Notamacropus eugenii: one gene and its partners. The protein of the gene in region 4 interacts with the protein of the main gene of each other region in a pairwise test. Links are inferred from orthologs where the notes say so. Each region holds a gene or a part of one and is shown on either strand. Other genes may lie near its edges.

What was found.
Region 1: the proteins of BYSL (region 4) and HMBOX1 interact in binary tests that used the Homo sapiens proteins (3 or more experiments, as listed by UniProt). The two-hybrid records come from large-scale screens. The link is inferred for Notamacropus eugenii from reciprocal best matches to the Homo sapiens genes BYSL and HMBOX1.
Region 2: the proteins of BYSL (region 4) and NECAB2 interact in binary tests that used the Homo sapiens proteins (3 or more experiments, as listed by UniProt). The two-hybrid records come from large-scale screens. The link is inferred for Notamacropus eugenii from reciprocal best matches to the Homo sapiens genes BYSL and NECAB2.
Region 3: the proteins of BYSL (region 4) and THAP1 interact in binary tests that used the Homo sapiens proteins (3 or more experiments, as listed by UniProt). The two-hybrid records come from large-scale screens. The link is inferred for Notamacropus eugenii from reciprocal best matches to the Homo sapiens genes BYSL and THAP1.

Annotation. Positions count from the first base shown.
Region 1 is NC_092872.1:608,575,755-608,583,436, reverse strand, and holds the start of HMBOX1 (homeobox-containing protein 1), read right to left. Parts: upstream 3,012-7,682; 5' UTR 2,940-3,011; coding exon 2,911-2,939; intron 1-2,910. UniProt on the Homo sapiens protein: Binds directly to 5'-TTAGGG-3' repeats in telomeric DNA. Associates with the telomerase complex at sites of active telomere processing and positively regulates telomere elongation.
Region 2 is NC_092872.1:697,729,908-697,737,739, reverse strand, and holds the start of NECAB2 (N-terminal EF-hand calcium-binding protein 2), read right to left. Parts: upstream 3,015-7,832; coding exon 2,784-3,014; intron 1-2,783. Other genes in the region: OSGIN1 (oxidative stress-induced growth inhibitor 1), read right to left, coding at 5,368-6,316. UniProt on the Homo sapiens protein: May act as a signaling scaffold protein that senses intracellular calcium.
Region 3 is NC_092872.1:617,706,155-617,714,008, reverse strand, and holds the start of THAP1 (THAP domain-containing protein 1), read right to left. Parts: upstream 3,011-7,854; 5' UTR 1-3,010. UniProt on the Homo sapiens protein: DNA-binding transcription regulator that regulates endothelial cell proliferation and G1/S cell-cycle progression.
Region 4 is NC_092873.1:102,944,837-102,952,769, forward strand, and holds the start of BYSL (bystin), read left to right. Parts: upstream 1-4,933; 5' UTR 4,934-5,160; coding exon 5,161-5,428; intron 5,429-7,933. Other genes in the region: MED20 (mediator of RNA polymerase II transcription subunit 20), read right to left, coding at 3,073-3,227, 4,478-4,671. UniProt on the Homo sapiens protein: Required for processing of 20S pre-rRNA precursor and biogenesis of 40S ribosomal subunits. May be required for trophinin-dependent regulation of cell adhesion during implantation of human embryos.

The DNA of each region.
Region 1 (7,682 bases), on a different chromosome or scaffold from region 4:
TATATCTTTTGTCTTTTGGGATACTATGTTCTATATAGTCTTCTCCTTTGTTATTTCAATTCTTTCTTCCTAGATGCTAGGAATATTTTTTTCTGTGATTCATAAGTTCTGATTTGGTTGTAACATGCCTGGTAATTTTCATCTGGGGGTTTCTTTCAGATGTTCAATGGATTCTATTTTTAACTCTGCCGATACAGAGTTCTTTCATTCTCTCTTGAAATAGATTGATTTTGGTCATGATTTTCATGTAATCCAATGAATTCCAAATTATCTCTACCTTCTCCTATTTTACAGTTGAGTTTTTTAATTTAAAATGCCTTATATTTTCTGGTATTTTTTAAACTTGGTTTTGTTTTAGTTTACTTATGTAGTCTAATTTCTGTATGATTTATCTTAATTTTCAATGAATCTGTCTGTTACTTGGATAAACTTCTATACCTCTTGAGCTAAGCTATAAATTCTCTTTCCAAATCTCTTCCATAGCTCTCATTTCTTTTCCAGTTCTTTCTGTTAGTGTTTTTTAAATTTATAATGAAAGTTTAACCTTTCCCTTTAAAAAAACAACAACAACAAAAACCACCTCTTAAACTTTTTCTTCTTGGAATTCTAATTGGTTGTGTAGCCAAGATACTGTTTTACTTGGAGACTTTACTTGTAGATCATTTGGAAATATTTTCTTCTTTTCAGCTCATATCTTGGGCATCCCTGGGACATCATCATGGTTCTTTTTCGGATTTTGTTCACTCATTCTTCCACCTTACCTGAAAATTCCACATTGGAACTTTTTCTTAAAGCTTGGCTCTGGCCACTTGCAGCAGGACTTTGGTAACCTTATTTGACACTGGTTGTTCTTATCTGATCAGGAAGGCAGTCCCCTCTTCTGCTCTAAGGGACTAGGTTTCAGGTTTCCTCTCCTAGTCAAGTTGCCTGTGGTTTGAATCTGTGATGTTGTTGGAGAACCTACTGTGTTTTCTCCTTCAATTTCTGATCACTACTAGGTCTGGCACTTCTCTAATCTTCGAGTAGCTGTCAAGGGAGCTAGGATTCCATACTTCCAGTGTACACCTTGATTGGTTCTCTATAATGCTAACTGAACTCTGCATCTTTGTCTAGATGTTCACTGAGTTCTAAGGTTGTTGGTACTGTAAATATACATACAGAAATCCTGGTCATGATTGTACAAACTATCATTTTAACTACTTCGGAATGTGTTTAAAATTTATTTAAAATTTTTGTTTGGCCTTTTCCAGTGTTTTTTTAAGGTAGAGATCAGACAGATACCACTTATTCCATAGGTGTGCCATCTTTTGTCCAACTCTTACCTAGTCCTTAGCCATTGAATGGGCGTGACCTCAGACAAACTGAGACCTGGGAAAGATCTTAACTTAGAAAGGCCAAGGTCACCCACTACAAGATTCTTGGGCAGCCAGTTGTCTTGACCTTTGCCTTGCCACTGGACTTCAATGACTGAAGACGTGAAGCTGACAACTTTGGTGCAGCTCTGCCTCACTCAGATGCAGTTCATGTGCAAGAGGACATCAATTTCTCTGATGCCATTGATCCTCTTTAAGGACGAAGGATAAACAGAAACTGCTATTCCTTAGTAATAGTTCTGCGACACCAATTCAGGCAGAAAGCTCATACAGTTCTTAAAAACTAACTCCTGAATCAAATACAGATTCCATGTTGTATAACAGATATATTCTCTTGAGCTAAAGCTTTCTTAATTATTGATAGCATTTTCCTTTTATAGTTAGTTAATATTTCAAGACGCTTTTTCTGAATCTCCTAGTTCTTAGTGTGTTGCTCACTCAAATTTAATTTACTTTTGTGTCACATGCATCTTATATTTACTTATTTGTGTATTTTTGTAACTGTTTCCCTTCCCTTTCAACTTGATTTAGTTATTTTTCTTTTGCTCATTAAAGGGTCCACTCCCTGACTACTTAAACAGGCCTATTCACTATATGGGCCTAAATGAGTACCTGAATAGGCCCAAGGTCAAAGAGGCCAAGGTCTCCCATTGCATCCTGGGCCATCTCCAGTCATCCTGATGCATATCTGGTCACTGGATCCAGATGGCTCAGGAGAAGAAAGTGAGGTTGGTGACCTTGCACAGCCCTCCCTCACTAAAAACAAAGTCAAGTGCTAGTCATGTCATCATTTCTCTGATTCTTGGTCCTCTTCGAAAACGAAGGACAAACACAACCTGTGTGCTGACTGTGTACCCAAGTAAAATATAAGCTCTGTGAAATCAGATTGTCTCTTTTTTTTGTTCTTGACTCCTTTGTGCCTATTATGCTACCTGTCACATGGCATGCCCTTAATAAATACTTATTGAATTAAATTAATAATATCTTCTAGAATTATGCTAGGAAAAAAAGTCAAGTTCAATGGCATACAGCTTACAAACTCTTATTTTTCTCCTTTATATATAACTTATATCAAATTGCTTACCACCTTACAGGGAGGGGAGAGGAAAGAAGGAGAATATGGAACTCAAATTTTTAAAAAAATGAATGTTCAAAATTCTTTTTATATGTATTAGGAAAAAATGAATTATTATTTTTTTAAAAAAGCAAGAAAACCCCAAAATTATGCCTCCAAATGTTAAGTACTGGTCTGAGGAGCTCCTTCTTCTAAGGGAGCAATGCACGGATATGAAACAAATCTGACAGGGTCATCTTTTCACAGGCCACAACAATAAAGATGAATGCTTCATAAGCAGTTATGAACTGCTTCTGTGGGTACAATTATATCAATATAGGTGCTGTGATTAACTGATTCTTCAGGTCATTAAATGCATCTTCCACATCTTATCAAACTGGAAAGTCTTATAGTCCTTTATGAAACTTGTGAGAGATAAACATGAACAATCATAAAAGACTAAATAAGAATTAAACAGCTTACATTCTAATATGGGGAGATGACACACACATCCCCTCTGAAGTCTATCATGATCAGGTCACAGAGGGAGTCATAATTAGACAGAAGGCCTGGGAGTGGTCCTGTTATTGTCTTGATAATCTTGAGAAGAATGAAAATATAAAGGAAGAATACACTAGAGAGGGAAGAAAAATAAAGGTTAGGTAAAATTATTTCAATAAAAATGAGCAAGCAGAAGTCTAAACTAATGAAAGGAAAGTGGGCAGAGTAGGTGACACTTGAATGTGTTAGTGTCAAAAGTGAACTCATCTTCATCTGAACTGGTCACAGAAGGAAAGAACATGTACAGTTAGGTGTAGAAATACCTTCATTCTGTAAAATAGATTGATGCTGTTTGCCCTTTGTTCTCAAAGAGGACCATGTTCTCAAAGAGGAAGGTGATGCCATGACAAGCAAGTGAATAAGATTTAAGGGAGGGAAGGCTGTGCAAAGTCTTTGGCCTCACTTTTTCCTCCCAGGAAAATAGGAGGGAAAGGGAAGAAGAGAGATTAGAGGGAGAGTAGATTAAGGAAAGGAACAGTCCTAAGAAAAACCAATACAAAAGTTCTGGCTCTTTTTGAAGTGGCAAAAAATTGGAATCTGAGAGGGTACCCATCAATTAAGGAATAGTTCAATAAGTTAAGGTATACAGATGTGACAGGATCCTATTGTGCTATAAGAAATTATGACTGACATAGTTGCAGAGAAATCTGGGAAGAATTGTGTAAAATGATGCAGAGTAAAGTGAGCAAAAAAGGGAGGACAATTTATGTAATAATATTGCAAAGATAAACAATTTTTAAGTATTAGATGAGTTTTGATCAGAATACTGACCAACCATAAAACCAGAGGATTTATGATAAAACATGCTACTTATCTCCTGAAAGAAAGGTAAAATGCTAGGTGGATGAACAGACAGATAGAAAGACATACATAACAGATGAATGGATGGACAGAAAAGCAGATAGATAGATATAACATGAAATATGGAAATTTGTTTTGCTTGTAATGTAATATGTTTGTAATTTTATGTTTCTTTCCTTCTCAATTGGGAGATACGTAGGAAGAGCAAGGAGAAGACAGATTTTTGCTGACTGAATAAATAAAATTTATTTAAAACAATCACTGAGCATCCAAGTATATACATATTAATTTAATGTGGAGTACCTTATCAAATCTTTGCAAAATTTCTCTACCTTTTCATTCTCTGCAAATGATATGACACATAACCTGCGGGTGGCCTTTTGACAAATATTTGTCACTATGCTTCTAACTTTCCAGAGTTTACCACAAGGACTCCTTCACCTTCTCAATCTCAAACAACTTTACATCTTCTTTTCCCATTGGTGAGTTCCTTCTGTGGCTCCCTACATTGGGTATAGGCTGAGGTCAGTCATACTTTATTCCCCTCCTGGCTATATTTCTGACTCTGGACCTGGGCACTGTGCTCAAATGTGGATATCTTCTCCTCTACCACTTTTCAGGTTCTTTCATTGTGTTGTCTTCCTCCATTAGAAAATAAGCTACTTGAATGCTGGGTCTGGTTTTCTCTTTGTTTCTGCTCACAACAGTGCTTAATAAACGTTCACTGCCAACGTAGTACAAGATGACCAAATGTCCCAGGAAAGAATGTTTCTCACTGCCTTTGGATGAATAACACACTCAACTCCACCACCTGCTTTATCTGATTCTCCAAGAACAGCCTGAAGAATTCTTTCATTTAACTTTAATTTCATTTTGATTAATTCTACCACCCAGCAGAGTACATGGCACACAGTAGATACTGAATAAATGTTTTTTTAATTGACAGATTCAGATTTAATATAATAATATTAAGATTGATGCAACTTGGTTCCTTTAATAATAGATCTACTTTCCAGTCATTAGAAAAGAAGATATAAAGTATCAACATTTACATAAATTAATGCTTAAAAACTATCTGAAAACTGTGTGATTTGCAGAACTTTCTGTAAAGTCAACAAGCATTTATTAAGCTCTCAAGAAATTTTAATTCTATTTGAGGAAACAATCTGTAAAGAACTAAGTGCAAACAAGATATTTACAGAATAATTTGGAGATAATTTTAGAGGGAAGGTTCTCTCACTGAGGAGGAATGGAAAGGCTTCTTTTTATTTTTATTTTTTTTGTATTTAACATTTCATTTTTTTCCAATTACATGTAAAGACAGCTTCCAACATTCATCTTTGCAAGACTTTGAGTTTCAAATTTTTCTCCCTCCCTTTCCTTTCTCCCTCCTGCCCAAGACAGTAAGCAATCTGATACAGGTTACACATGTACAATCATGTTAAACACAGTTCCACATTAGCCAGGCCATGAAAGAAGAATTAGAATGGAAAAACCACAAGAAAAAAAAAAGTTGGAATAGTATGTTTCAAGCTATATTGAGATTATATACACCCCTCTCTGGATGTGGACAGAATCCTGCACCAGGAGCCCTTGGGAATTGTCCTGGATCATTGTATTGCTGAGAAGAGCTAAGTCTATCATTATTCATGACTGCATAATATTGCTATTATTGAGTACAATATTCTCCTGGTTTTCTCTTCTCATTCAGCCATCAGTTTATGTAAATCTTTCCAGGTTTTTCTGAGATCTACTTGCTCATCATTTCTTAAAAGAACAACAATATTCCATTATATTCACATACCACAAATTGCTCAGTCAATTGATGGGCATCCCCTTAATGTTCAATTCTTTGAAAGGCTTCTTTTTAAAAGCAAGACTTTAGCTGGGAATTGATACAAGCAAAGGAAACTAGGAGGTGGAGATGAGGAGAGAAAGAGTTCCAGGCATTTGAAGACAGTCATTGAAAACACTCATAACCAGGAAGACTGAGGGTCCTGTGCAAAGAATATTGAGGAGATCAGTTTTAAAAAGTATGTGATGGGGAATAAAGTATAAGAAGACTAAAAAGATAGGTGGGGAACAGGTTATAAAGTATGAAGGGCTTTAAAAGCCAAACTCAGGATTTTATATTTGATTCTGAAGGTAATGGGGAAAGAATGGAGTTTAGTGAATGGGAGGATGGAAGGGTAACATGATTAGATATGCACTTTAGGAAAATCATTTTGACATCTGAGTGGAGAACACACTAGAGGAGGGCAAGGTTTGAGTCAGGGAGACCAACCAACAATCTGCTGTAATAGTCTAGGAATGAGAAGATGAGGGCTGGTACCTGGGGCAATCAAAAAAATGAAAGTGTAAATGACAAGACTAGGCAACAGATTTGATATGGAAGTGAGAGAAGGAGCAAGGAGTCAAAGAAAACACCCATCTTTCAAGCCTGGGTGGTAATAAGTGGGAAAGTGAGGAAGAAAAGAGTTTGGAAAAAAAAAGCAAACAAAAAAAATTCAGTTTTGGACAGGGTGAATTTAAGATTTCTACAGATCATATGTTTCGAGATGTCCAATAGTTCAAGATACAAGCCTGAAGGTCAAGAGAAAGGTTAGAGCTGGGTAAACAGATATAAAAATTATCTGCAAAAAGATAACTGAATCTAAGGGAGTTGATACGCTCACCAAGCAAAATAGAAAGAAGATGCTGCAGGACAAAGCCTTGTGGAATATTCCCTTTTCTGACACTTTGACAATGTTACTCACTAGAGAAAAAAAGGGCATCATAAAAGACTGAGAATAACTTTGTATTTTTATTTGTTTCATTCACTGCCAAATAATTCATCACCAAATAGTCAATCTACTAGTAATGAACCTTTGCATTTCAACAGGCTAATCTTCAGAAAGCAGGTTGGTTTGTTGTTGTCCCTCCTGGTTGAAGAGGACCAAAATGGCATTACTGTGCTAGGGTCAAAGTATAATGTGTCCAACTGTGGTTGATAAGACTAATACAATTTGGGAAAGGTCTACCACAGGTCAGGTACAAATAGTTGTGAACATTTCAGATGAAGACAGCTCTAAATTTGCACAACTCAAGTTTTTTTGAGCTATTGCAATTCTGCTTTGATCACAAAGCTCAGTGCCTTCTTTGATGTGGGCATGCCACACTAAACAGTCCTATGCCAGTGACACCCATGTCTCACAATCAATTCCAAAGTTCTTCAGAGAGACATTGAGAGTATCCTTGTATCAACATTTCTGACCTCCATGTCAGTGCTTGCCTTGTGGGTTCTCTGTAAAATGGTCTTTTAGGCAAAAATACGCTTGGCATTTGAAAAATGTGGTCAGCCCATGAGAGCTGCCTTCTCTGCAGTAGTTTGAATGCTTGACAGTTCACTTTGAGAAAGGATCTCAATGTCCTGTACCTTATCCTGCCAGGTGATGCTCATAATATTCCTAAGACAATTCAAATGGAAGTAATTCATTTTCCTGGCATGATGCTGGTATACTGTCCAGGTTTCACAGGGATGCATTAATGAGATCAGCACAATGGTTCTGTAGATATTCAGTTTGGTAAGCAGTCTAATACCTCTTCTCTCCCACACTTTCTTTTAGAGCCTCCTAAACACTGAGCTAGCTCTGGCATTGCATGTGTCAACCTCATAATCTACGTGGACCCGTGGAAAGTAAACTGCCAAGGTAAGTGAACTTATCATTCAAAATTTCTCCATTTGTTATAACTAACAGTTCCACAAAGAGATAGTATAGTGTTAGCTGGTGAGGAACCTATATATTATTGGTATTAAGTGTCAGGAGGTCAAAATTAGAAAAAGTAGGAGAGAATCGATCCATACTCTATTGCATTTCAGTCTGAGAGGCTGCACTGAGTGCATAACCATCTAA
Region 2 (7,832 bases), on a different chromosome or scaffold from region 4:
ATTTTAATTAAAAAGAGAATCCTGGAAGAAATCCCAAGGAATAAGTATCAAAGGTGGATTTTCAGACACCCACCTGTGGAAGGTAGGTAGGGGAATTATTTTAGTTGTGGTATCCCCTTTGACTCAAACTACAGAAAGGATTTTCTATTGTGCCTATGCATGAGGGCATCCCTGTGCTCTGCCTTATCTGTACGGCCTGTGTTCCACGCTTGGAGACACACACACACACACACACACACACACACACACACACACACACACATACACACAAACGGATCATAGAATTTTGAGCTAGAAGGAATTTATAGAGTTATATAAGCACACACAGCCACACACACCCTCACATTCAAGTGTCCAAAGGATGGATTCTCCTCTGGGTACCAGAGGACATGAGGCAGAAATTTCAGGAGCCCCCAGTTCTCCCAGGGACCAGGTCAGACTTTGGGGAGGCCATTTCAACAAGATGTAAGCCAGCAAGTTGGGGGAGGGGGTCTCTAGTTTACACAAAGTGTTTTAAGGTTTGCAAAGCATTTTTCAGACATTGTTTCACCTGATCCTCACAACCATCCCATGAGGTAGGTGCTAGTATTATTATCATCCCCATTTTGCAGAGGAAGAAACTGAGGCAGATAGAGCAGAAGTGACATAGATAATAAGCACCTGGGTTAGGATTTGAACTCGTCTTCCTGACTGCAGATCTGGTGCTCTATCACCTAGCAGCAATTAAGCTGCCCTTAGTAGTGGGGCATCCTGAGAAGATTGTTTTGGGGGTAAGAGTCAGTGAGTCAGTCCACTATCCTTTATTAAGCCCCTACTATGTGCTGTTAGAAGGAGGGTCAGAGCTATTTTTTTCTTTTTCTCCCTCTCTAAAACCTGGGTTGAATAAAGCCTTCCCTGACCCAGTTGAGCAAATAGTTTCTCTGGTTCCAAGTACTAAACATCAGAATGACCCAATTCTAATTATTCCTCTTCTGGCACTTGGTGATAAGTGGGGCTGAGGGTAGAATAACTAGGGTCCCAAATTTCTGTGCATTGGGGATCACTTTGATTTCGATGTCAGATATTTAGAAGCAGTGAAGGTGCTGGCATACACCAAGCAGTCTTTTGAGAATAGGCAAAAGACTGGAGACTCAGATACATAGGACCTACTATCTCTGTGACTGGGTGAGCTGCCAGTGGGGTCCTCCCATAGGACCTGGGAGAGTCTAGAAGAGAAACAAAGGCCACACAATGATGAACCAGGGTTCAAAGGGTGGGGGGAAGGGCTGGCGGAATGATACAATAGAAAGACCCTGCATTCTAATCCCAGCTCTAATACTTGTGTGATATTGGCAAATAATTTCCCTGCTGAGAACCTCAGTTTCCTCATCAGAGATATTAATACTTGCTCTAACTGACAGAGTTGTGGGAAAACACTCTCTAAATGTTAAAGAAATGTGAGTTATTACTACTACTACCACCACCACCACCACCTAGATCTTCAAGTGACAAATTGTCTAAGAGCAACATAGTGGGATCTGTGTATTTTCCTCCCATGATTTTCTGCCTGGATGGTTTTTGCCCTTAGATTCCTCATTCCTTGAGTAGTCTCTTGTTACCAGATTGAAAATCATTTGCTATCCGTCGATATCTGATTTCTGAGGAGGGGGTTAGGGTAAGAGATAAAGGATAAGAGCCCGTCCCCTTTCTAATATGTAAGGAAACAGAAGCGTAGTCTGATTCAAGTAGAATCTTAGAGACTAGAATCCCATAAGTCATCCAATCCAAACTCTTTTTATAAATGCAGGGTCTTGCAGGGTCCGGTCAACTAGGGGATACTCAGAACTTCTCCTCCATGACTCTGAAAGGAAATTCGGAAGTGACCCTTAAAAGGTGAGGAAGTTCTGAGTTCGATCTTTCTCATAGAAACATCTCATCCCTTCCTCCTCCCCAAACAGATGCACACTTTCTGTACACATACATCCACCACTGCTGGGAAGAAAGAGCGTGAGTCTGAGCCCCATTTAGTTGGGAAGGAAAGGGGACCCCAGAAATCTACCCCCTCGACCCCGCCCCGTAACCATCAAGTCTACACTGAATGAACCAAACCACCTGGACTCAGCATTCCCCAATCACCCCCTTAAACGCGACCCCATCTAAACAGATCCCCAAAGCTGGGGCTGTAGAGGGGAGGTGTTCAAGGTGCGGAACCAGGTCCTAGGAGAAGAAGGGAGACTGGGGGTGGGGGGTCAGAGAGTCCTACTAGGAGGAGGAACTCTGGAGAGGGACTGGGCTAGGGAGAGTATTGAGGAAAGCGGCAGGATTTAGGGAAGGGACTGTCCCAGTGAGGATGTCTGGGTGCAGGGAAGGGCTGCAGATTCAGAGAAGTCTAGGACTGGGGAAACGCTCGGGGCTCTGTCTTGGGAGAGGAGGAGAGGGTGGTGGTGGGATGGGGGTGGAGAGGCAGGAAAATGGGATGGGGTGGGAAATGAGGATCCCTCGGGATGCGAAAGGGAGCAGGATCTGATTTACGGAGAAAAGGGAGGGGAGAGAGTCCCTGGGAGAAGGAGAAGCTTTCATGGGGATCCCTAAGGATGGGAGACCGGGAAGCAGGGGGCTAGGGATGGCTGAGAAGGGGGAACTAAGATCGTGCGGAGATCAGAGATGCTGAGACCGTAGGGGAGACAGTGTAGGGATGGGGAGAGGTGGAGGAGAGGAAGAAAGCTTTGGGGAGGGGGTGCGAGGAGGAGGGGGCAGAAGTCCGGGCCGGGGAGGGGCTCCGGACAGGGTCCGGTGCTACTCACGTCCAGGATGACCGAGGTGCCCCTCCGGGGCGGGGACGGGGCCGTCGGCGGGGTGGGACAGAGCCCGTGGCCAGTCCCGGCCCCCGGCCCGTCGGCCAGCGGCTCCCGGGGTTCGCCCATCCTGGCTCCCACCCAGCGGAGCAGCCCCCCCAGCGCCCGGCCCTGCGGCGGCGGCTCCCGGAGCAGTCTGTGCGCGCCGGCCCTGCAGAGGCGCGCCGCCCGCTCACACATCGCTCGCGCAGCGCCCGCCTCCCGCCTCCCGCCTCCCTCCCGCCGGAGCCGCCGCCACCACCGCCGGCCCGACCCCCGCCCCCGGCTCCAGCGCCCGCTCGCCCACGCGTGGCCACCTCTCCCAGCCCGCTCCGGGCGGCGCCGGCGCTGCAGACCCCGCCCCCCCGGACACCGCGTGGGATGCGGGACTCGGGACGCGGGACCCAGGCTGGGGGGCGGACAGGACCACATCGCCCGGCAGGGGGGCGCTGGAGCCGGGCCTGAGCCTCCATCCCCGTCCATCTTGGGACCCCAACTCCCCAGGACCCCTAACGTCCTCCCTCCCTTCCTCTTATTTCTGGGGATGATGAGGGTGCGGTAGGGATAGGGGCTGCTTCCAGAGGGGATAACTGGGGGACGTATTAGGGCATCTGGAATCCGTGAAGTCGCCGGTCCGGGCTGAGCCTGAACTGAGAGAGGAAGGGTGGGCTGCGCTGGCCAGGGCCTCTGGGACTCAGCATCTAGGAAGGGATGGAGTCCAGCCTAGGAGAGCCCCTGAGGCCTCCAGCACATCGATTCTTCCCAGCATCTTTCGCTGTCTCTGGTCCTTCGGCTTGCAGGGACAGGCGAGTAAAGAAGAGTTTCCCTAAGTCAGGCACTCCCTCTGCCGGCAAAAGCCACAGAACTCTCTTTCACAGGACTCTTGGGGCTCCTGGAGCATCCTTCCCTCACACCCTTCCCAGGGACCTGAGCATTGCCTCTAACATCCCGTCACATCCAGTTCCCCCAGACTTTGATTCCCTCTCTCTCTCTCTCATTCAATAAAATTTAAGTCAACAAACATCTGCTTTTTACGAAAAGAAAAAAAAAAGTCTGTCCTCAAGGAGCTTATATTCTGAGGAAATACAGCATGGATAAATAAAGGTTAATACAAGATGCATACAAACTAATTTCAAGAGTGAGAATGCTAATAAGGGGGAAACAGATATGATTTCATGTAGCAGGCGACACCTGAAAGGGGCACTGGTGAAGGAGGACAGTATTCTAGACTTGAGACAGCACTTGGGGAAAGGGATGGAGGTAGGAGAGGGTTGTATGTGGGGAACAGCTAGTTTGATTGGGCCTAGGATTGTGAGAGTAAAATGGAAGACAGACTGGAAATGGTTGAGAGCCATGTTGTCATGGGTCTCAAATTCTAGGTTGGGAGCCACTGAGGATTTTTGAGGAGGCAGATGACAGGGTCAGATTTGTGTTTTAGGAATATCGTCATCCATGGGATAGCTTCGGGGACGAGGGATTGGAAAGGGGAGAGGTTGTTTTCCCTTGTTTTCGAAGAGGATCGTGACATTAGGAAGATAAAGCCATGACATGTAACTGAAGTGGATTTAAATGAGGCAGGGCTGTGCAAGGTCACTAGCCTCATGTTCTCCTCTAGAGCCATCTGGATCCAGTGGCAAGATATAGATCAGGACAACTAGAGATGGCCCCACCAAGAAGGGAGAGACTAGAAGCAAGAGGGCCAAACAGAAGGATGTTGCAGGTGGTAAGGTCTTGAGCTGGGGTTGAAGCTGAGTGAATAGAGGGTCCAAGATGTTCTGGAGGTAAACTGACATAATCTGGCAAATGATAGGGGAGAGGGGGAGGGACAGGGAAGAGTCACGGAATGTTATGAGCCTACCCCTTCTCTCCCTCCCCCCACATCTTGTCAGTTTCCCACTTGCCCATTCACAGGCTCCATCCTTAGGACTCCAGCCTTTTACTCAGACATGGTCAGAGATTTGGACAACACAGCCTCAACTTGAGGTGGTTGGATCGCCACACAAGGACAAGCTGGAACATCACAAAGACAAACTCTTCAAGAACATATTTTGGCAGCCTTTTGGTTTATTCAAGATGTAATTCTGGGGAAGAGCTGAGGCCCCTAACTTCCTAGGGCTGAGTTCTACCATCAGTGTTGCTCATTGGCCCAGGTTTTGGGGCCTTGGGAGCCTGAAGTTCCAGAAGCCTGGAAATCTCCAGTTTGGGTTCAGGAAATTTTGAGCTGGTCAGCACTAAATAAACTTCTCAGACCCTGGTTCAGCCAGACCCACAAACTGTACTTTTCCCAGGGCATGGGTCAGACCTTTGGGCAGCCTTGACATTTTGGTCTATTAACAAGGAACTGGTCTTTAGAATCACCGCCCTTCCCATTTCCCCCGTTTATATACATACACAGTCTCCCTACAGGGAGACATCTCTTTAGGGGAGGCCCATGTTGGGGTCCAGGCTCATGTCTGAGTCCCAGTCACTATACCAGGCAGGACTGAGCAGGTCTCCTTCCTTGTCTGAGCTGGGGCTGTGAGGTTGGGGGCATGGAGGGTGGGCAGGGGTAGTCCTAGGGGGGCTTCCTATTTTCTTTTAGCAGGGAGCTAGCTACAGCCAATGCCCCTCCCTGCACAAATCTCACAAAGTTGTCTCCCACCAGGGGCCCCATGGCATAGAGGCGCCTCTGCCGGGTGCTCTGGTAGGTGAAGGGGTCAACCTCAATGGGGTTCCTCTTGGGGCTGAGTGGTTGGTCTGGGTCCACAGTGAGGTCAGTGCCACCATGGGCCAGGAATGAGAGGTCAGGGTAGGAGCCGATGAGGACCAGCACAAGGGAGACCCTGAATACCCTGTGTTCCCCGTTCTGATCATGGAACACAGCCTCATGGTCCTCCTGGAAGAGCAGGGGCTGATGTTTTGGCAGGCTCAAGTAGCCTTTGTAGCGAGTGGAGGAGCGGACAGATTTCTCCCGCATCATCTGGTGTACTTTTTGGTACTCTGGGTACATTGTCTTGGGGAGTTGGTTGAAGATGAGACCAGGGTCATCCACAGGCCGGCGGAATGCATGGATCACTGGGAGGTTGTAGCGTCGTGCATACAGGATGGCATCAGCTGCTGAGAGCCCGGCCCCAACGATGAGCACGGGGTCAGATGTGGGGGTTACATCCCCAGCCTTCATGGCCTCTTCTAAGGCAGACAGGTCATAATGAACGTAGGGGAGATCCTCTCCAACAATGCCCAGCCGGGCTGGGTTGTCTGATGTCCCTGTGGCCAGGACTACATTGCGCGCACGGAATCTGAAAGGCTGCTGGCTCCCATCTGTGGAGGTCATAAAGCCACTCACCACGAACAGGGGGCTCCCATCTTGCTGGCTCCTGGTCTCTCCTGACTCCGTGCTCCCAATGTCCACAGCTGTGACCACAGTTCCACAGAAGAAGTTGTGGCTCAGTCCCTTCTTCACCACATAATCCTGGTAATAATGGGCGATGTCTCCAGCTGTGGCCCGGCTGTCCCGCAGTCCCCTGTATGAGGAAACGCAGAGGTCAGTCTCAGGGATCTGAACTAGGTAGGCACATGAAACCTTGTACCCTTCAGAAAATACAGAAAAGCCTGGCCTACAACTTCCTACTATGTCTAGTTACTCATCTGTTATAATTGCTTTTCCAAAGGGACCGGTCCATTAGCTTCTTTGAGGACAAGAGTGCTGGAGTCCAGAAAACCTGAGTTCAAATGCTGCCTCAGGACTTGTATCTGTGTCAGGGACATTTACTATCTGTATGACCCTGGGTGAGACACAACCTCTCTCTGTCTCAGTTTCCTCATCTGTAAAATGGAGGTAATAATAGTACCTACCTACTTCCTGGGCTTATTGTGAAGATAAGGTGAAATAATATTTGTAAAAGTACTTTGCAAACCTTAAAGCTCTATACAAATATATTTTATAAATATTATGTAATATAATATAAATATATTTTCCATATAAAGCTTTTGTTGTTCAATCATGTTTAACACTTTGTGACCCCATCTGGGGTTTTCTTGGCAAAGATACTGGAGTGATTTACCATTTTCTAGTTCATTTTCCAGATAATGAAACTGAGGCAGACAAAGTTAAGTGACTTGGCCAGAGTTATACAGCTAGTAAATGTCTGAGGCTGGATTTGAATTCAAGTCTTCTCGACTCCAAGTCCAGCACTCTAGTCACCTAGCTGCCCCAATATAAATGGGCTATTAACTATAGTCCATCCAGATTGGGGTATGTGATGAGAATTTCCATCCATTCCCTTCTCCTTGAGGGGATAGAGATTATAACAGGAGAGTGTTGGAAGGGGAAATAGCCAAGGGCAAAAAATGGGGGTGGGGCAAAGGTTGAAGGGGAGGACACTCTAGACAGAGTTTAGGTAAGGGTAAAGAATGAAAGGTTGGGGCCCCATAAGTTGTGTTGGCCAACATAACCTAGGGCTTGAACTCTGAGCAAACTCAGACTACAAGTTTTGAGTAATTTTTGTAAACTACATTTTTGTAAGCTTATTCTTCTGTTGTGGGGCTGGGAGGTGTGTGGGTGGCTATGTTTTAAGGATCATGGAATGCCAGTACTGGAAGGGATTTGAGCACTCATTTAGTCCAGTCTCTTCACTTTAGAGATGAAGGAGTAGACCCATGACCTGAGTCTCCAGGCTCTTTCCCATAAATCACTTGTCCCCTTAGCTCTTTAGTAAAATGTCCTTTTTGCAGTCTTGCTAAAGCATGCCCCTCCTGCCTCTCACTGGGGAGGGGACATGCACTTGCCAGATTGGCCAACATGCTGATCTGCTTTTCCTTAACTGACCTTCTTTGTTAGAAGGCAGGGTTCTACTTTTGTGGAGGAGTGATCACTGGAGAGTGACAACAATGAAAAAAATAAAGAGCATGCAAAAAAAATTTGACTTCATCTCAGGATCTATGAGGAGACTGTAAGTAGAAAGGAATCAGAACCACATATTTAGAAATGGAAGGCTATGAGTCCCACTGCTTTATTTTATACATAAGGAAAGGGGGGCA
Region 3 (7,854 bases), on a different chromosome or scaffold from region 4:
AGCCGACCGAAGCGGAGAAAGTTCGGCTCACTCCAGGACGCTTTTAATACGCCTGTATTGTTGTTTGCATTAGCAGGATCGCAGCCATCGCCCGTCTGCTCCCATCTCCAAGATGGCGGAGGCAGCTTCAACCTCACCTCTCGCGAGGAGCTGCGGGCGTCGGCTCTGATTGGCTTGTCGACCCGAGGTAACGTTCAGTTGGATGCGGGCAACAGGCGGAGTCCCGACACCTTCGCGCAGAGCTGATTCGACCGGCCCTTCCCTCCCCCTGGGAGGCCATGGGGGAATGGGGCGGAGCCTACGGAGTTGGCGGAATGGGGCGGAGCCTGCGAAGTTCGCGGCGGCGAAGCCCGAGTTTATTTCTGGAAGGCCGGGTTGAGGCTTGGCTTGAGGGGAGGGGCCCGTCGTGGGAGCGGGCGGGGGATTGAAAGTCACGAGGGGCGGAGCGAGGCGGGCGCAGGGGGCGGAGAAATCACAAGCCCCGCCTACAAGCCCTGTTTTCTTGGGAGAGGCAGCGCTTGGAGTCCTTGAAATCGATAGAGGTGTAGCAAGCGCTCGGCCCTCACCTTATGAAGGATAGGGAATGCCTTGATCGGCCTTTGGGCAAGGTTTTCCTAGAAGAATTCTGTAAAGACAGGGCTGGAAGGTGCTTAGAGGTCTCGCCCCGAGTCCTGCCTCTCGAGGAGGGGCGGGCCGAAACTGCTGCTCACAATATCGCGGATCGATTCATCGGCGATAGCTCCGCTTCTGGGGGGCGGGGAAGAGGGAGGCGACTAATAATTTGAACCAAGCTCTGTAGGTGCCTTTTTTAGAACAGTGGTTCCTAATTATTTTTTATGTCATGGGCCCTTTTAGTACTCTGGTGAAATAATAATAATTAAGAATTTGCAAAGTACTTGGCCAACATCTAACTTCATCCTCACAGCAACCCCGAGGGGTCGGTGGGTGCTATTAAATCTAACTAGATTTAAAACAGAAACCAAGCAGGTGTATGTCCCACACAGACACCCCTCCAGCTCTTCATCATCTCCAGGATTAGATACAAAATCCTCAACTTGGAATTGAAAGCTCTTTATGACATTCCTCTCCCTGGCCCCTACCCCATTTTTTCAGTCTTCTTACTTGACCTCCTCCTTGTTGCTTTTTTTTAAAAATAGAATGTTGGATTTTTTTCTCTGTTGCACGTAAAAACGTTAGCATTCTTTTTTATAATTTTTGAGTTCCAAATTCCATCCCTCCCTTCCTCACCCCCCCCTTCCTTCAGAAGGCAAGCAGTGTATGTATGTATAGATTAAACGTGTTCAGTCACGCAGAGTATTTTCATATTGCTGCTGTCCGTTGGAGAAGATAACTGCATATTTTCGTTGGCTGTCCTCCGTGCCTGGAATGCTCTCTCTCCTGGCTTCCTCCAAGTCCCACCAAAGATCCTTCTGTAGGAAGCTTTCTCCCATCCTCTTTAATTCTAGTGCCCTCCTCTCTATTATTTACAATTTATTCTGTATGTAACTTGTTTGAACATAGGTTGTTTTAATATTTCACAGTCTTTTACTTTTCTTTGTATTCTCAATAAATTACTAAAGTCTTAGGTAATTAGTAATTCGATAATTCACAAAGAGTAGGTTTTAATAAATGTTTATGAACTCTTTGTGTTCCCCATTTTGCAAATAAGGGAACTGAGGCAGACATTAAGTGACTTGTTCAGGGTCACACAGCTGGTGTCCAAGGTCTGACTTGAACTCACATCTTCCTGGCTCCACATCCAGTTTTCACTGTGCTACCTAGTTGCCTAACTGGACTTCTCAAAAAAGTGTTTTTAAATTAATAAAATGCATAGTATTACCAAAAAAACCAATTATTTTGAAATACTTATCCAAACATGTTTTTAAAAAGTTTATACACCTCCTTAAAAACTCTTACTTGAAATTTGCTAATCCTCAGACTTTACAGAGGGCATATGACTTTATCCCACTTCTTAATGATGTACTGCCTCATATATATTTCAAAATATTTATTAAACACTTTTTGTGTGCAGGGCTTCGTACCAGTCACAGGAGGAAAAGCTGAGATTACAATTTAAGGAGCAGCTAGGTGGCTCAGTGGATAGAGCACTGGCCTTGGTGTCAGGAGGACCTGAGTTCAAATCCAGAGCCTCAGACACTTACCAGCAGTGTGACCCTGGGCAAGTCACTTGACCCCAATTGCTTGCCTCCCTTCCCCCCCCCCCAAAAAGAGAATGCTAATATTAGAGAACATTAGCCTTAGAGAATGTTAACATTTCTCTTGGAAATTTTACTCTAAAGCCTCATCATTCATTATGTGGAAGTAACCCTAGGGTTTTTAATAGCATACCAATGGAGCACAGTTTTTGGCTGGGCCTGCTAAATTGGAAAGATTTAGAATAAACTCCAATACCTAGCATGTGATTGGAAGGGGATTGGTGCTATTGCAGCCCAAGACAGTGCTAAGTTTTGGAAGGGCTGTTATATGCATTGGTAGACTGAAGTACCCAGAGGGAGGAAATGATGGCCCTTCTGAAGTATTAAAAAATTAACATAAGGGAAAGGAAGTAATATTTAGGAAGGGGAGATAAACCATTTCTCTGAATGTAGAGTAAATGGAAGGATCTTTCAAAAGTGGTTCTAAGCAGCATTCTAACCCTTAACCAAACGAATTCACCAAGTATCTATGAAGCTTCTTCTCTGTGAAAGGTACTGGGCTAATTTTTGGAGAGTCAAAAATGACTTTCCCTTAAAAGACTTACCTGTTATACTGATGGATGTGTCAGCGTTCACAGAGAAGTCAGTCACAAAGGTAATTTGAGGAGAACATTAACAAATACAATTATGGAAGTGCAAGGCTTCACTCAAGGGGCACATTTAGTTAAGCCTTGGAAGAAGGGATTCTTAGATGTGGAGATATGATGGGAGTGAACTCAGGCATGGGTTTATGTCTTTGAATGCCCAGATTGGAGGAGAGGTTCCAGGAACTGCAGCCCTGTTTAATACGAATGTGGAGCTCAGGAAAGGAGTAACAAAATAAGGCTGGAAAGATAAGGCGGAAGAGTTTATATTTTATCTTAGAGGCAGGAGGGATTCTGGCAGCTGTGTCAATAGTCACTAAACATTTATTAAGGCCAACAATGTGCTCGACACTGCTTAGCAATGGGAATTCAAAGAAAGGCATGGAACAGTTTGCTTCCCTCAAGAAACTCAGTCTAATGGGGGAGGGGGGGGTGGGGAATGGGAAATGATCTCAGGAGATGTGAGTTGCAGAGTGGAATTCATTTTGCAGAATGATGAGTTTCTGGAGGTCAGGAAGTACTGGAGAGCACCGTTGGGAAACAATGAGGTGAATTCCCTGGATGCCCTTCTTCAAAGATGAAGGAGCTCTCCAGGGTCTGTCCTCCATCCTCTCCATGGGGAGGCATACCGGAGCCACAGGGTTATGGGGAAGTGTGAGTTTCAGAGTTGAATTCTTCTTGCAGAACGATGAGTTTCTGGAGATCATTCAGGACAGCAGCCAAGTGGGAAATGAAGGAGAGATGGCAGATAGGAATGGCTGGAAATAGGGAGTTACAAAGGGCTGAATTAGGGTGGTGACTGTGTGGAAAGAGGGGCATAGATTTTATGGAGGGTTAAAGGAGAAGACGTGGCAAACCAATGAATATGAATGACAAAACCTAAGATTAGGACATAGTTATCACCCACCTGTACTATTATAATACATAGGGACCCTTAACTTGGGGTCTATGAATTTATTTTTAAATATCATTGGATTTCCTTTGTGATCTTATATGGTTTACGTATTTAAAAACATTATTCTGCTAAGGGGTCCATAGACTTCACCAGATTGCCAAAAGGGGTTCATGATACCAAAAAGATTAAAAACCTCTGACCTATACCCTAGTGTCTTCCCATTTCAAATACAATGACTTACACTCACTTCTGAGTATTCTATGCTGGGGGAAGGTGATTTGTCTGGCAGCCTGGTGTGATAATTTGGTTACTGGCCTTGAAGCTGAAAGATCTGGATCTGAGTTCTGCCACTGCCACTTTTCTGTCCCAGTGATTCTGAGCAAGTTATGCTCCTTACATCTCTGTTGTATCCTCTGTAAAATGGGGGTGGGGCTAGTAATTCACAACAAGATTGTTATAAAGAAAGTGCTTTGTTAAATAAAGCACTCTAAAAATGTGAGCTATCATCATCATTGGCCTCTTGCTTAAAACCTGACTTGCCTCTTTCTGTTAATGGTCTCCATTTCTTGGTGTTTTAGGCTGTAAACCACAGTATTATTTTTTACTTCTCCCTTCCCTCTAACCCCCACATTCTCATTTTTCTCTTCTGTAAAATTAGATAAAAATAGCTTCTATCTCACAGAATTTTGAAGATAAATGAAATAATGTTATGTAAACAACTTTAAAAACCTTGAAATGCTATGTAGCTGATTTAGAATTTATGCTACCTGCTGTTTGTCCTTGTTCTCCAAGAGGACCATGACATCAAGGAGGAGACGCCATGATGTGCAAGTGAAATGGATTTAAGTGAGGGAGGGCTGTGCAAAGTCACCAGCCTCAATTCCTCCTCCAGAGGCATCAGGGTCCAGTGGCCAGATATGGATCAGCACAACTGGAGATGGCCCAGGATGCAGTGGGGGTCTTTGGCCTTTTCAAGCTAAGTTTAATAGGTCTCAATTTGACTTGAGCATCGTGCATTCAGTGATTAAAACTTAATAAAAAATGAGGCAAAGAATGGCCTCTTTAAAAAAAAAAAAAAAAAGGATCTGAGACGGGAAGACCCTCAAGGTTTTTCACCAAAACAGAAACGATTGTTATTTTCATTCATTTTGAGCCAATCAGGGCCCAAACTGAGACCAAGTAAGGTTTGGTCTAGGACTACAGTGATTTGGAGTTAAGGATGCTCTTTTATTAAGAGAAAAAAAAACAAAGCTTCAGAGAGTAAAACTTACATTCCCTTTGGGCAGAGCACTGGCAGGTAAGTGTATGATACCCTATGTGGAGGGAGAATAAAGAAAAGGAAGGAAGGAAAGGAGAGGAAGAGGAAAGCAAATAACCTGTGTTGCCCACCTGTCAGGGAGGTAATACCATGACATGCAAGTGAGTTTTTATGATATATGATAAGGATTTATGAAGGGGGTAGGGAATGGTAATACTAGTTTTACAGGCCTTACAAAATAGTTTCTTAAAAAGAACTAGTTGAGGGTAAGGGAGGGGGAGAATTTAGGACTCAAAATCTTATAAAAGTGAATGTTTTAAACTAAAAACAAATAAAAAGAACTAGTTGACATGGCATATTCCCAAATCAGATCAGAAGCATTAGCTCTTTCTGACATTTTTAAGAGTTCTATTTTTATAGAAAGTGCAACATTGGGTGGAAATGCTAATTTGGTTTATTAACTATAATGATATAAAACTGAGCTGTTCTTATTGATCAGAGCCAGCTAATTAATCAGTCATATAGAAAATTAGTGCTTGGACAAAGAATTCTTATTTTAGTATGGATATAAAAGGGCATTTTTAAATACTTGTTTTTAAAAGTAAAAATAATTTAAGATATCAGATGTCATGTTGCTTTCAAGTAATTACTGGTTCTCTTTTTTTCAATTTCATTTTTAAAAGATTCAATCTTATCTGTAGAACAGTTTGTAAGCTAAAACATCATCACTAGAGTGGGAGGGTGGTGCTTATTAATTAATATTGAGTATTCCCCAGAGAGACATATTATTCTGTCCTGGCTCTGCCTTTGTGGTAGACCAAGGTATAAGGATGGTGTTAGTCGAAGAATATATGCTTTGTTGACCTGTTTGGGAAAAAGGCTCAATTCTGATCACAAAAAAGGAACCAAAGGCAAGAAATGTAATAATTAGACTTTTCTTGAAAAGGCAATCTGATTATGACTAAATATCATAAAGGACTTAAAGTACCTACTTACGTAGTATTCTAGGGAGCAAAAAGATACATGCAAATAAGAACAGCGAACATTCAGAGCAGATAGTTTTCAGAAAATTCTGAGAAAATTTAAAAGTTAAACATGAATAAACAGAGTCAAAAGGGAAATTCATTTTCCTAGACAAGGAAGAAAAAGCACAAGTTAAATGGGCAAAGGCAAAAAGTCCTGTGTAAGAAAATCATGGTGTTATATGCTAATTGTCCAGTCTGCTAGTTTTATTAGTTGTGACAAATATGACAAATACAAATAAGAAATGAAAAAGCACTTAAGCTTTCACACATTTGAGTTTGGAGCCATGGCTAAGCATGAAAGTTGGCTTATTTTTCTTCAAAACTTACACATGACTTAGAGTCAGGAGGCCTGTAGTTTTCAAAGGGGGAGCAAATAAAATATAAAAGCCTATGAATGTAGAACCAATTAGTAAGAGATACCACACTCATTTTTCAATTTTTTTTGGCACATGGCAAAAATTAATATAGTAAATTATAGGTACAATGGGATGCTTAATACACATTAGTAATAAATGAAGCAGGAACAACAGTTACATCGAATACCATTTCATGGTACCATTCCACGCCTGTCTTAAAAATTTCTGAGCACATCCATTACAGAAGTAATAGCAGAACAAACATTTGAGATAGGCTGCTTTTATTTGAAAGAGCAAATTACTTGCACATAAATTCAAAGCTTAAACTCAAGTATTATTTCTCCATAACAACAACTGTGAGGTAGATTCCACATAGTAATAAGGGATTCAGGTTACTTTTGTGTTCTTGTTGCAGTGACGAAGATTCACCACTGAAAAGCCAGAAACTGTGGTGCTTGTGACATCTGACCAACGGACGGAGTCTGGGCAACCGTCTAGACTCCCCAGATAATTGATCAATTTACTATATACTCCTGGGGGCACTCTGTATAAATCACTTTGATTTGTGTGATTTTTTACCTTGGATCATGGGAGTTATAGCTGAATTCAAACACTGATTAAAAAGTGAAGTACTTTACTTGGTTTAAATACATTAAATTTAAAATCTCTTTATATCCATTGCCAGAATTGAATGCAATGAACTTAAGACGGTCCATAAATTTTAAAATGTCCTTTTTTAACTTGATGTGGTTTCAAATATTACAATTCTTAAAATGCTACAAATTGTGATAAAAAAATACCTTTATCCAGCATATTAAAATAAAATCAATGTTTATCAGAATTGTAATAGTGGGTAGTGTAGGTAGAACATACATACTGAAAATTTCCTTTTTCCACAGGATAATTCAATTTTGTACCCTAAGTAAGGTTTATCCTTGACTTGAAGGATTCCAGAATCCCTCAGTTGAGTAAATGTAGGTATAGCAAAAATTCTCATAGCTGCTATTCTTCCCTTTTATGATGAGTCACTGTAGGGATTAAGGTTTTATAAACAATAGTGAGAAAGTATCTAGTCCATTTTCTGCTTGAGATTCACACCTAAATTATCCCACAGAAATGAAGAAATATATCCAGAGATATATTCTGGTCTTTTGCTCCAAATGATAAATCCCCAAATCCTTCTTACCTAAATACAATATGGTATGTCACCTTTCATATCATTTTTGTATCTACTGTAGACATCAATAGCCAGTTATTGTCCTCCAGCACAGAAAAAGCTGAAATAAAGTCATCATTATTGACATTTTAGAGTCAGTACCAAGTTGATGTCTGTATCTGAATGAATTACAGATAAGATTTTCTGATTATTTCCCTCTTGATGCCAAGGACAGTATTACACACAGTAGGGGCTCAATAAATGTTTACCAGTAAGGTTAATAGTTTTCATTATCTATCATCACTGATAAATTAGGAACTAGCTGTCCCTTCATACTGTTACTGTGACAAAGCTCATTAAAAAA
Region 4 (7,933 bases):
TCTTTTCCAAAGGGCATCACATATGTACAGTTTGTATAGTTCATGACCCAACATGACACCTTTGCTATTTACTGTTTTGTAGGGAAGGAGGAAATCCCACAGGCAACATGCTAATAAAAATTGTTGGGTTTTTTTGAGGGGAAGAGGATAGCAAGATCTAAGGATTTAGGCGAACTGCAAACTCAATGTCAAAGTGTGACTTGGCAGTCAAAAAAAATTATCTTCTTTGGATGTATTGAGAGATGTAGATCCTAGGAATGGAGAGATGGGAACAGGGTTATAGTTCAACTGGGGTCTCTCCTCATCAACCCTCATCTAGAACACCGCATTTGGTTACGGGTGCCAAAGTCTGAGAAGGACATTGATAAACATAAAAGCTCCAGAGCAAGGCAACCAGGAAGGTGAAGGGTCCCTAAGTTCATGTTACGTAAAGATCAGTTGAAGAAATTGAGCATGTTTAGCTCAGGAAAGAGAAGGCTCAGGGGGAACAAGGTAACTACATTTAAGAGGCCTGAAGGGCTCTCATGTGTAAGTGGGACTGAAATTTATTCTGTTTGGTCCCAAAGGCAGAATCAAGAACAAAGGATGCAAGTTGTAAAGAGAAAAATTAAGACTTAATATCAGGAAAAACTCCCTCACAATTAGAGTTATCCTTGAAGTGGTACAGGTTATCTCAAGAAGTGGTAGATTTCCCTCCCTCACATGTTGTCAAGCTGAGGTTAAACAACCATTTGTGAGGTGTGTATAGTAGAGATTCCTTTCATGCATCGTTAGATTCTATGGGCCACTGAAGTCCTTTCCAAATCTTAAATTTATGATTTTGGGAGACGAAAATAGAAAAGAGAAGAGAAAAGGCATTATGTTTTAGCGGATAGCAGCCAGCTCTCAAGTCTAGGAAGTCTTACTTCAAGTTCTAACTCGGACACACTACATGAGTTACCATGGACAAGTCACTTACAAGGTCCCAGGCAACTGTTGAAGACTACAAATTACAGACAGGTGACTAATCTGTATCAGCAGTGGGTGCTCTCCACATTAATGAAGTCATAGGTTTGGATTCCTTCCCAAAGTTCATCCTGTGGTTATCCACCTTCTAGTGACAGATCCTCTCTGATATGAGCTAGACTGGAATGGGTATGAAAGACATGCTATCTACCACCAGATGAGTAGTCAAAGCCTTTCTAGTTTGGGAAGACTACCAGAGCTCGGTAGGTTATATTACTGGTTATATTTGCCATGGTTTTTCCTTTAAAATGTTCATTAAAAAAATTAGACAACAATGAAATCAGGTATCTTCATAGTCAAGGCTTAAGAAAATTCCCAATCAAGCAACAGATACAAACAATTACAAAAGATGAAATTGTCACTTTCAATTACATAAAATGTAAAAGCCTTTACATGAACAAAATCAAAGTAACTGAAACAAGAAGGTGAATCATTAATTGGAGAGAAATGCCACATTTAATATCTCTGGATAGAGGTCTGATATCCAAGATCTATATAGGGAACAAAGATATATAGCCACTCCCCAAAACTATTCCCCAATAGATTAAGTGGTTTAAAAATGAGAACAGACTTCAAAAGAATAGCAAACTATTAACCACAAGAAAGATTACTTCAAATAATAAGAGAAATGCAAATGAAAACAACTCTAAGAATCCACCTCATACCCAGCAAATAGGTCAAGATGCCAAAAGATGGGAAAGATCAATGTTGGAGGGGCTTCAGAAAGACCTGGATACTAATACTATATTGGCAGAACTGTGAGTTACTCAATTTCTGGAAAACAATTGAGAATTATGCAAAAAAGGTGTGGGTGCTAAAAAATGTCCATACCTCTTGGTCAAGAGACCCTACAGATAAGCCTATACCACAAGGAGGTCCAAAATGGAAAGTCTCATATTATACCCTAAAATATTCATAACAGAATTTTTTGGAATAGCAAAGAATAAGAAAACAGACACCAATGGACAAACTAGGGTACATGAATGTAACAGATTATTACACTCTAAGAAATGAGAAATATCAAGAATTCAGAGAAGCATGGAAAGAGTTGGAACTGATAGAGAGAACTAGGAATTCATTTTCACTTCCCTCTCATCCTCAGACAAATAGGCAAAATATACACAAAGTTAACAATGTAAACAAAAAGACCAAGACGAAAATAAAAAACATGAAACTAAATGCTATGTAAATTACAGTAACCAAGCTTGGCCCCCAAACATAGCTTCCTCTCCTCTATGTATAAGTAGGAGACTGTGGGCATGGACTATATAAAACGATTAGTGACAGTTCTTTTGCTGAACTGTTTCCCTCCAACATTCTTAAAAATTTTCTTTTTTTCACAAGAGATAGCTTGCTGGGCAGAGGAGAGTGGGTAAGGTTATAATTCAAAATGAAGGCAATATAAAAAGAGATAAAAAAATAAGCTTTAAAAATATTTTAAGTAAGTATCTAGGTTTTGCCTCTCTAGTTCAATTGTGAAGATTATCTTTTCTAAATATCCTTTTACATGTGTATACCACTTAACACTTTTCAAAGCACTTTCATATCTCATTTTATCTCCAAAACAACCTTTTAAACTGTAATTCCCAATATACAGCTGATGGAACAGACAAAAGATTTGTCTAAGCTCACAAAGCAAGTAAGTAGTACAGAAAGGACTACAATTTAAGGTCCCACACCCCCTATTCCTAGTGTGTGGGTCTTTTCATCATTTCTACTTTTGCATTTTAATTCAAACCATTGGTACAGAGTTTCCTTCCCACAGAGTGGACAGTATATTGAGCCTCAGTGAATGGCAAAGGAAGTGGCCAGAGTGATAGTATAGGGAGTTCCAAGACAGGAAACAAACAAACAAAAAGTGTAGAAAGATTTCCTCTTGGTTCTCAACCTTTAGACTGAAAAAAAACACCAAAACTCTTACAACTGAGCGTCAGGAGTTCAGAAATACTAATGAATAGCCTTGAGCAGAAAACTGTCTCAGCCAGAAAGATGTCTAAGGACATTAGCATCTGGAGAATCTACTAAGTCTGAGCAAGGTTCCAGCTGTCCTACTTACCACACACTGACCTTGGCTGCCCATGGTAGAGGCCGCTGTGTGGTAGGTCTCACAGTCCACGCAGAATGTCCCCTGCTTCTCTGCCCCTAGCAGTTCCAACTTCCTGGTCAGGATCTCCACGGTCTGCTGGACACTCTTACCCTCAGCCACAGGCATCTGGGACACACTAGAAGGGTAGTGATGAGCCTTCAGGGTCCACATAGATGTGAACAGGCTCCCCCAGCTTCTCATTCAGCAAAGGAAGCTGGTAGCCCCAGATCCCATCCCAGCCAGAGTCCCATCCCTGCTGGGAGATGCCACTGCTCATATGCGAGAAGCAAAACACTACAGGCAGTCTGTGTGTGGCTTTGGCCCAAATGAGAATTCTCCAGAAAAAGAAAGATAAGGATATCCTAGGGATCACACTAAGCATATCATTCTCCCAATGCAGCAGATGTTTCTCGTTTTCTGCTTTTTACCTAGTTCCCTTTGCTGTCATACACCTTTCCCCTCACCATGCCAAGTCTCAGAAAGAGATTACTGATTGAACTCTGGGGACTACTAGCTGGCAGTCAGTAACTTGCAAGTGCCAAAAATAACTCTAGAAAGGAAAGGTCTTCACAAGCTCTCAGATGTGGCACCAAAAAGTTGTGCCCTTATCTGATACCTTCTTCGGTCAAGAAGCATTTACTAAGCACTACGTGTGAGTTACTGTGCTAAGCGCTAGAGGGATACAAAGGAAAGATAGGGTTGACAATGACCCCTCAGCCCCAGATGTGAAAAGCAGACCACCAGGGCACTGTTTCTCCTTCTCCCTCTTCAACATGATGGGTTTTCCAAGCCGGGCCCAACAGCCTTCAGAAGCTGGCTCCTTTCTCCCCCTTTCAGTGCCAGGGATAATGCTCCCTCCCGCCATCCCGGGAGGATGGTGATCAAACTCTGGTCAGGCAGGAGATCCCGTCCCCCTGGTCCAGCTCTACTGCGGGGTGTCTCGGGCTGGAGGTCGGGCGAAGGAAGAGGAGAAGCTGAAGCCTGCCACTCAGTGACCTCCAGGGCTTCCTCCCGCCCTTCGCCTTCCCCTAAGAACAGGGAACTGCCTTAAAGTCTCCCAGAATCTCTAAAAACCTACAATTAAAAAAAAAAACCTACAAAACCCAAGCGTAAACTTCCCCCCAACACACCCACACCCCCACCAGGCCTGCAGCGCCCCCAAAGCGGGGACGGGTTGAGAGCTGGTAGATGGAAGGGCCTGACTCACACCCGAGCCCAGGCATCCCGCCCCCACCCACTCATCCCAACAAGACCGGGAAAGGAGAAGGGTCGGGAGGAGGCCTCTGCGGGGACGCAGCGCCTTCTCCGTACTCCCTCGCGGTCCGGCCCGGGTGCCCAAGGAACTCTGAGACCTCCCCCCTCCACGTGCAACATTCGCGGCCCTACCATGTCACCCCCATGCTTCCAGGTCGCACGGGAGTGTGTACGTTGGAGGAATCCGACGCCGCGGCCTCGCCTCTCCCTCCGCTCTCCCGCAGGAAGCCCCACTTCCAGGCCTTGGTGGGAGGTGGACGGAAAGACTGTAGGGGAGAGAGAAGGGGGAGGGGAGGAGGAAAAAGAGGAATCCGGAAGTGATGCATTAAGTCGGGCCTCGGAAGTGACGTATAAATAAAGCGTCTCAAAGAGAGCACCAGCCGCGGAGTTGCCAGGACTTGGGCGATCACCCCGACTAGGAGCTCCGCCCACTTTCCCCACCCTAGAGTAAGGCGGGAGGTTTCTAGGAATTGACTCGCGACCTAAATACTCATCTCTGGAAGACAGAACAAATCCAAACCAGGGCTACAGCTACAGTGGGCAACTACGAGTCCAATTCACATAACGCGAGCCGTCGTACGGCGGGGGCCCCGGGAGGGGCCTGGTGACGTCTAACTTCAGGGGGCGGGGCCGGTAGGGGGGGCACCGGAAGCTGAGTTTCCGGCCTCCGATCGCTGGGAGGCGCTGTGTTCCGCCAATGGAGCTTGTCTTCTAAATCTGGGAGGTGCAGAGAATGACGCGCTGCTTGGCGCCGGCGCAGTCCATATTCCTGCCAGTTCCCCACGTGTGTTTCAGAGGAAGGGGTGGTGGAGACCATGCCCAAGATCAAGTCGTCCCGTAAGGCCGGAGGGCAGGCAAAGCATGCCCCTCTGGCGGACCAGATCCTGGCAGGGGACTCCGTACGGCCCGGAAGCCGGGAGAAACGGAGGGACCGAGGCCGCGGGACGGAGGAAGAAGAAGAGTACGTGGGGCCCCGGCTGACCCGGCGGATCCTACAGCAGGCGCGAGAGCAGCAGGAGGAGCTAGAAGCTGAACATGGCTCGGGTGACCAGACAGCGCCGAGAAAGCCCACCACGCGGCTGGGTTAGTGAGGGGGTCGAAAGGGTCCTGCGGGAAATAGGGGAGGGGGAGGAGCCGAGAAACTGAAGGCGGAGCTTCAGGGAAACTTGTGGGTTAGTTACCTTGAAAGCACACTCGCTAATCTTCCACCTCTCCCTGTATACTAGCTGCTTTCTTACTGCCTACAAACATGCACGCGTCTCCCTTATCCTCAAAAAACCCCCACTTGAGCCTTCCATCCCCCCCTCCATCCGACTATATCTGACTCCCTCTCTTCTGCAGAATTTGAGCAGTCTGTTTACAATAGGTGCTAACTTCCAATTAACCTTCCTCTCATTCAATTCTTTGCAATCTGCCTTCTGATCTCATCATTCTACGGGCCCTGATCCCTCCAAGGTACCAGTTATTTCTTACTTTGCAAATCTCTACAGCTTTTGACACTGGGTCGACCTCCCTCTTCTTCCTAATACTCTATTTTCTATGGGGTTTTGTGACACTACTGTCTTGATTATGTCCTGGTTCAGGGTTGGGGAACCTGCGGCTTCTAGGCTTCTAGGTCCTTGGGTGTGGCGTTTTGACTCAGTCCAAGTTTTACAGAGCAGATCTTTTTATTAAAGGGATTTATTCTGTGAAGTTTGGATTCAGTCAAAGGGCTGCACTTGAGGACCTAGAGGGTCACATGTGGCTTCGACGCCGCAGGTTTCCCACCCCTGTCCTGGTTCTTTTCTGCCTGACAGTTCTTTTGCTGTCTCCTTTGCTGGACATTCATCCAGGTGAAGCCATCTATTTGTGAGTGTGCCCAAAAACCCTGAACTGTTCTGTCTTATTCTTCTCTATTACTTTATTTGGTGATCTCATCAGTCTCTGTTGATTCAATTATAGTCTCTTATCATACATATGATTCTTATAGAGTTTTTTATCCATCTCCAACTGACTATTAGACATCTTGGTTGGTATATCCCATAGACTCCTCAAAGTCATTATATCCAAACCAGAACTTGTTAGCTTTCCTCTAAAACCCTAACTTTTCTATTACTGTCAGGAACCTAAGAGTCATACTGTACTCTCTTCATTCTTTCTCATCCCACTATTTCCAGTCAGTTGGCAGGTCCTGTGGATTCCATCTTTGTAGAAACTTCTGTATGTTCCCTTTTTTCCTCTTGACACTACTACCCTCCTGGTACAGACCCTTATCACCTCATCCTTGTCTATTGTGTAACCAAGTCACTCCCCAGGTCAGTCCGTCCTCCACCAGAGGTGTCAAACTGTTCTTCCTAAAGTTCAGATCTCATCATGTAATTGTGCATTTAGTAAACTTCAGTGGGTCTTTTATCTCCAGGATCAAATATAAATCCTATTCAGCTTTTAAAGCCTTTCATAACCTGACCCCTTCCTACCTTTGCAGTCTTTTAATATTTTACTGTCTTCCACATACTCTACCATCCAAGGATTCTGGTCTTCTTGCTGTTCCTTGACCAAGACACTCCATATCTCTACTCATCTTTTCATTGACTCTCCCCCTTGCCTATAATTTTCTCCCTCACCTCTGCCCTCCTGGCTTCCTCAGCTTCCTTCAGGTTTCAACTGAAAATCCCACCTTCTGCAAGAAGCTTTTCCCAATTCCCCCTAAAGCCTTCCTGTTGTCTTCCCATTAGATTGAGTTCCTTGGAAGTGTCTAATGTTTTTGCCTTTGTATACCTAGTGCTTAGCACATAGTCTAACACATAGATGACACTTAATAAATGATCATTAACTGGTGACTCAGGCATGGAGGCGCATAGGCCATGAGAGGGAGAGGGAACCCAAACAATGATGTTCATTCATTTTCCTTTCCATCTCAGTAGACTTCTCAGAATTTTGCACCTGCATAGGATCTTAGAGGACATCTGATAAGGGAAAAGTGTCAAACATAGCATTTTTATTTGTTTGTTTACATCTATTGTTTAGTTATCCTTTTCTCACTTTTCAGCCCAGACCTCTCTGCTGCTTTTACTACTACTACTGACCACCCTCTCCTCCTGGATAGTCTCTCTTCTTTAGGTTTTCAGACAGTTTGTTCTCTTGCTTCTCCTACTTCTCTGACTCCTTTGCTGGTTTATAATCCATAATCACACTACTTAACTGTAGTTATACCCCAGTAGTATGCTGGTAAATGTTTAACAATCAGCTCTTCCACATGCTTTTAAGCTTAATCTTCATAATTAAGTTTTCTTCATATCTTAAATCTAAATAATCAGCAAAAAAGTAAATCAAGCTCTCATTAGTAGCATTTGCCATTTTCCAAGGTATAAATCCTTACATTGAAAATCTAACAGTCCCAAGAATAGTTGGGGCTGGCTCCAGTACATCCCTAGTGTACCCCAAGACTATATCCTGACTATGATCAAATTTTGTGATCAAAATTACCTGTGCCTGTTCACTTAAGCGTTAGCTGAAATAAAGTGAAAATATCTCTATAGAGCAGACAAAGCATTTTTATACATTTACTATGTGCCAGGTACACAAATGACTCCTAAATCTCTTTATCTG